Danio rerio: one gene and its partner. The protein of the gene in region 1 purifies or fractionates together with the protein of each later gene. This does not show direct contact. Links are inferred from orthologs where the notes say so. Each region holds a gene or a part of one and is shown in the gene's direction. Other genes may lie near its edges.

Evidence for each region. Proteins that work in one complex are often made in the same cells at the same time.
Region 2: the proteins of zgc:92664 (region 1) and bptf purify together in Homo sapiens (affinity purification with mass spectrometry; 5 studies listed by BioGRID and IntAct, with this or other methods). This does not show direct contact. The link is inferred for Danio rerio from reciprocal best matches to the Homo sapiens genes BACC1 and BPTF.

What each region holds. Positions count from the first base shown.
Region 1 is NC_133182.1:26,105,459-26,109,716, reverse strand, and holds the start of zgc:92664 (uncharacterized protein LOC436695), read left to right. Parts: upstream 1-1,442; 5' UTR 1,443-1,617; coding exon 1,618-1,638; intron 1,639-1,846; coding exon 1,847-1,941; intron 1,942-3,734; coding exon 3,735-3,955; intron 3,956-4,066; coding exon 4,067-4,171; intron 4,172-4,258. UniProt on the Homo sapiens protein: Component of chromatin complexes such as the MLL1/MLL and NURF complexes.
Region 2 is NC_133178.1:24,124,819-24,127,140, reverse strand, and holds part of bptf (nucleosome-remodeling factor subunit BPTF), read left to right. Parts: intron 1-1,612; coding exon 1,613-1,799; intron 1,800-2,322. UniProt on the Homo sapiens protein: Regulatory subunit of the ATP-dependent NURF-1 and NURF-5 ISWI chromatin remodeling complexes, which form ordered nucleosome arrays on chromatin and facilitate access to DNA during DNA-templated processes such as DNA replication, transcription, and repair.

The sequences.
Region 1 (4,258 bases):
CTCTTCCACTCCATGAAATCCCCTTGTGCATGTCCTAGACTCTCCTTGCTCTGTACTATGTGCTTTAAAAATGGACTGTTATCCTCCGACAATATTAGTGCTGATGTCTGTTAATGTACAACATTTATAGCTATAAAGAAAGCATTTTATAATAGCCCAGAGATAGAGATTGATGTTAGCAATAACACTATACACTTAATATAGAATATATTTATTTGAACGCATTTACACTCGTGCAATTTCACTGACTATAAACAGTGGTCACGAATTGAAGGAATGATCATGGGGATTGTAAATGTCTACAAATCAACTGGTTCTTCAAAGCAATATAGAGTGCCATGTGCTATCTTTTTTCTAGTATGTTGTTGTTTGTCTAATTTGCATTCATTTTAGAATGGGTTTAAAGGTTTCCCCGATGACATAATTGTTAAGAAAATGTATTGCAGCTGATACCTGCCTCTTAAATTTCATCATACAGACAAAATATGAAATTGTAAAACCTTATTATTCTACCCCAAGTATATGTAGAACATTGCTGAGCAAGCATTTTATGTTCTGCATTTGTTGCACTTTGACAACATGCATATAATAATAGCAACCACTGTTATAGTTGCTCTTGTTGTTCATGTTTTTATTGTTCATTTGGTCCAGATATTGCCAGCTGTGTCAAAATAGTGCCAAACATGTATAGTGACAGCATCGTGCAAATCCTCTGCATGGTGTTACTTGTCATATCCGCCCTCTCTGGACATCATATCAGAAGCTTTCCAACGCATCCCTCAATAAACAGTAATTGAATTAAAGGAAAGCTACTTGTTGGTGTTTTCTTTTAAAAGTAAATGAATTCTAGTTGCCTGCTTTGTGCACTAGAGGGCAGCTGACGCCAGTATAAACATCACGCATGCGCGATAGATGCTCTCTCAGCTCCATTTCGATGTTTTTCTTAGTTGTAGTGTACATAGTGGTAGTGAATAGATAAGACGCAGAACACTATCTTCCCCGTCTTTCAATATCAAATTTTGAGGTTCTGGACTAATGTCGCATTTGTTAAAGGCATATTTAACATCATATAAAATCACTTTATATTTTGCTTAAAGATTTTATTCATTTTAAAAACTCTTGCCTGTGATTGCAAAGACGAATGAATGTGTTAAATAGCACGGTTTTCATCTAAACCAATAAAACCTTATTACCTCCGTCTGCTCTGACAAGAAAATATTAAAACCAACGGTCTACGTAGGGTTTACAGAAACAAGTACGGCTGTATTGCGCATTAATAAATTACGAATTTGGACCGAGGAAACCCTGAGGAGAAAGCGCGAACGAGCTGCGCAGTTTCGACGCAGCTTTGAATGTGCCGAGTTCATTTCTGGTGGGCACCAATAACAACCGATTGCTGGAATTCAAACCAATGGGCATCGCCGAAACACAGTATCATCTTTACAATTATGCTACCAGCTTAGTCAAAGAACACGTTTTATTGTTGTTCCAAAATGTAAATAATTGAGGAATAAGTATCGCTGCCGATTTATATCAGCCGTTGCTGTCCACGTTAGCTTGAAGTGTCCTAGCTTTTTCTAAAACGCAGTCCTCATTACTTGGTTGCAAATCAAAACAATGACTTCGGCCTCTACAAAGGTAAATGTTTACAAATATGATACCTAAAGAACGATTAAATGTTTGTGTTGGTAGTGTGCATCCATGCTTACTGTATTCAATGCTTTGTGTTGTCAATAAAGCTACTGGCTAACATGCTAACTATCATCGTAATGTCAATTCCTAAATACACGTTTCTACGATCTCGGCGGATTCTGTACATTACTTATTTCTTGATGTCTGTGTTTAGGTCGGCGAGATCTTTTCTGCAGCTGGAGCTGCTTTCACAAAGTTGGGAGAGCTGACCATGCAGCTGCATCCAGTAGCAGATACTACTCCAGCAGGGTGAGACACTCGCTGCCTATTTAACTTCACGTTCTGCATCACAGTTCGGACTGGATGGTTTATACTTAAACTGGCACGTGTAAAAAGTTGTATAACGTGTACATTTCTCTTCAAAGTAATACATATGGTGTACATGGAAAATACTTTATTGATCATTTAAAAATATGTTTTTTTTTATTTCCCTTGGGTCCCTCAAACGCTTTCTAACCCTTGTCTGCTTTGACAATTTACGAATAATTGTTACGTTTTAATGTTAGCAATAAATTAAAGCACTAAACCATTTTCTTATGTAAACAGTTTTTAATATTATCCATTTATTTTTATTTGTAATTGCTAAATTTTTAAAGCCATTGTTTTTACTGACATTATGGGCAAAAACACTTCTTTTGCTTTCTGTCAGGGCCAAGTATTTTTGCAAACTTTAAACTAACTGGTTTATAATTAAAACAAGAACAAATATCTGCCAGTAGCCCAATACAAACAGAAAAGAAAATGTTTCACAACATTGACAGATTAATAATAAACCCTAAGTACTGTTTAAAAACAAAACATTTTACAAGGGCTTTTATAGGTTTCGTCAAGTCATATTTAAGACTTTTAAAGACCTTTTAAGACCATTCTGAATGAAATTTCAGACTTACACAAGGCTAACACTAAGGGTTTTTTAATGGCCCAAACATAAAAAAAACACATTAAAACAAATGTTATTTTAAGATAATTAAACCATATGTCTATGAATATAAATAGAGTTGGTAAATAGATTTACAAAATATTAGTTAATAAATAAACTTTTGTTTAAACTTTCAGTGAGTTGGAATGATAGTGATTGGATGGGTGTTGGCCCAATTGGGTAGCTTTACATGGAAAAAATTAACACTGGTTTAAAATGATTTAAGACCTACAACACAAGATTTCAGTGAATTTAAGAATTTTTTTTAAGGCCTGAAATTTTTATTTGAAAAATTGTAGACATTTTAAGTCTTTTTAAGACCACACTGTGGTAAAATACTGTGTAAAAGAATTATTGAGTTTGACCAACAAATGTATTGTTTGACCAGAAATATTATTTTTGTTGTGGTGCTACACATTTATATATATATATATATATATATATATATATATATATATATATATATATATATATATATATATATATATATAAATATTGCATACAAAAGATATTTAGAAGAATGTTGGAACCTGTTAGCCATTGAAATCCACAGTATAACTATTTATATATATATTTATTTAATCATAATAAATTATGGAAGTCAAACATTCTTCATGTTTTCTTTTTGTGTTCAATAGAAGAAAAAAACTCAAGTAAGTCTGGACCAAATACAAAACTAAATTATGCAAATTTGATTGAACTGTCCCTTAAAGGTCTTGAATTGTCAAATGTTAAATTAAGACTTGACTAGAGCCTGAGATTATTCTGTTCATTTTGATAGAAACATTACGCAAAAAATACCTGTCTGTAGAATTGACAACTGTTTTGGTTTAATCTTTTTAAAGTTACTATGCGTATGGCTTAGAAAAAGTAAACAAATGAAAGCATCTTAAATTCAGGTGAAATTTGCATTACAGTTCCTAAGTACCATTCTTTTCGGAAACTCAAGAAGACCCCCGATGTTTTATTTATATTTTACATTTGCCATCAATAAAGACTCATTAGTTGTGTAGCTCTTCTGTAATAATTAGTCTTTTATTATATCGTACATTTGTAATTAATAAGGACATTTAAGTTGCGTAGCTTGTGAGTAATAAATTTTTTTTTTCCTCCTCAAAATAAGGGCCCAAATGACAACAGCAGTCAAGAGGAAGTTGTATGATGACAGTGGAGCCCCTCTATCCACCAATTCACCAAAGAAGAGCACCAAAAAGGTGCCGGTTTCAATGGCTCCACCAGCCCCACCAAAAGTCATTGCTGTGCCAACATCTCAAGTTGTTGTGACTGCAGGCTTACAGCGGGCAAGCACAGGTCCATCTAGCATTAAGTCATCAAAAACGGCAGGTCGGCATTACTTAATTCACTTGTTTTGTTTTTCATTTTAAACTTGCAAAATTGTTTAGCAGATTGAAAATTGTCAAATACAACTAATGTATTGATATGCTTTTTCCACAGACGTCACTCTCAGTGCACTGAATGACTCTGATGCCAACAGTGATTTGGTAGATATTGAAGGCTTGGGTGATAGTTCATCATCTAAAAAGCTTAATTTTGACCAAGGTAAGAGACAGCTTTTTGGTGTATTTTTCTCTCCAAATTTTAACCCCTTCACAATCTCTGTCCTGTATTTTTTCAAAGATTTTGGCA
Region 2 (2,322 bases), on another chromosome or scaffold:
TGCGCACTAACACACACACACACAAGCACCACGCAGACTCTCTCTTTCTAATTCGCATAGCAATATCCGTGATATTGCTAGACAGCCCGCTCCCGTCCCAAATTAAACCCGTTACCGACCGCTCCCGCGATTTATTCGGAAATTTATTCCCGCGGCTGTCCCCGCGCCAGATTTCTGCGGCGCGGGAATAAATTTCCGAATAAATCGCGGGAGCAGAACTCTAGCACGGAGCTCCATAAACAAACAGCACGCGTCGCGTTTTTAACGTGACTTTGCACGCGATAAGATCAAATATCCAGTTAACCTGATACAGTACACGCGGTTACAAGTAACAAATCACAACTAAATACATTTGCAAGCAAGAGTAAACGAGGCAACAACTTTAACCGCACGTACTTACACTTGAGAAATGGAAGAAACCCATCCTGACGTCCATCAGTTACTCTTTACTGATCCTTCCTTTAACAAACTCAGATGAAGTATTCTTTGTAGCATGTAGCTTCCAGAAGTTTCCAACTGCTTGGTTATAATGCTGAGGTTTCATCTTTGGGTAGAGACTCAATATATCCATCTGCAGTGTGACTTCAATCGACCGGCATGTTTGTGTGCGTGTGTTTGTGGGTGTGCGTGTGTTTGTGGGTGTGTGTCTGGGTTTCTGCGTCAGAGGGCGGGGCCTCAGGTTTGAAATCTCCCGGGTTTGCGCGTGCACGTGAATAACTTGGTTTCGTTCGTACGTCATGGCGAAACACCTAATGAGTCGGTATCAAGGCGACTCGTTTGAAGCACTATGAGTCGACTCTTTTATAGATGAATCAACCGTTTTAAACACTGTATTCTTACAGATTTAAGCCTTAGCTGGATACTTCGCTTCACTTAGAGCTGTGTTACACACTACATGGAGGGGAATTTTCAAAAACCCATAATATGGGCTCTTTAAACATCAAATTGTAGAACTTTTTTTAAAACTGATAGTTCACCCAAAAATGTTCATTTATCATTTACTCACGCTCTAGTTTTTGTAAACGTTTATGAATTTCTTGTGTTGAACACAAAGCAAGGTGTTCTAAAATTTGTTGGAAAAAAGCAGCCATTGACATCCATAGTAGGAACAGAAAATACTATGGAAATCTATGGCTGCTTTTCCTCATGGAAAAAGTGAGTTCATAAAAAAATTAATTCAAACCGGTTTAGAACAAGTGGAGCAATAATTGAAGACAGAATTAAATTTTTGTGTGATCTATCAACCTATGTGTGCTTTCAAAACTGTTGAGAAGCAGTATTTATTGGAGAGCCAAACACTTATCATGCGATGTGTACCTTGGTAAAAAAAAATGCTGTTAAAATCACTGAAGCTGAAAAATGATCATCTTTGTGCTGTTACCTACCTAATGATGAGAGAATTATTAGGAAATATCAACCATTTTCAGCAGTGACTAGACTTCTTGTCAGCTAGCAGTCAAATATGACAAATGTGTGACTTATAAGGTCTTTGAAAAGAATTTCACCATTTTGATAATTTATTGTGTTCATGTACTAATTTTTAATAATGTATCTTTGTTTTAATAATTGGTTGTATTATTTTCTTCTCTCCTTGCATTTCCGTTGCATGCAGACCTTTCTACAATGGAAGAGAGGATACAGAAACGCTTTTACAGCAAACTCACAGAGTTCGTAGCGGACATGACCAAAATCTTCGACAACTGCCGCTACTACAACCCCAGCGACTCGCCTTTTTACCAGTGTGCGGAGTTCCTGGAGTCCTTCTTTGTACAGAAACTCAAAGCTTTCAAAGCAAGCAGGTAATTTCCACTTGTACGCACATATAAAAGAGCTGGATAGAATGGTTTTAAACGTACTTGTACATATGTTCATGTAAGCCTATGGATTTAAGTTGAAAAGGAATTTAGCATCAAGCATCAAAACAGTATAAGAATAATACAGCATTTTGTGTACTTTATAATCTGATTGCATTTATTTTTATCTATTTGTATATGTATATGCTTTGTGTAAATAAAACCAGTTTTGTACTTTTAACATGACTCAAAAACAGATTCAAAAAGATTTCAAAAACAGTGACTCTAATTCATATTTATGTATTTTTGGCAACATATTGTAAATATTCAAAATAACTAAGTTACTGCCCCATTGAATTATTTCAGTAATTTTTTTCAAAATAGTGAACCATCACATATTTGCTAAGCAATTATCGGTTTAATTTGCACTTTAACACAAAAGGCTGCATGTTTCAGTTGGCCCCAGGTAAGAGGGTGCTTTTAGCCATTTGTTTTAGTTTTAGAAATTGTCTACTGTTTAGTTTGCACT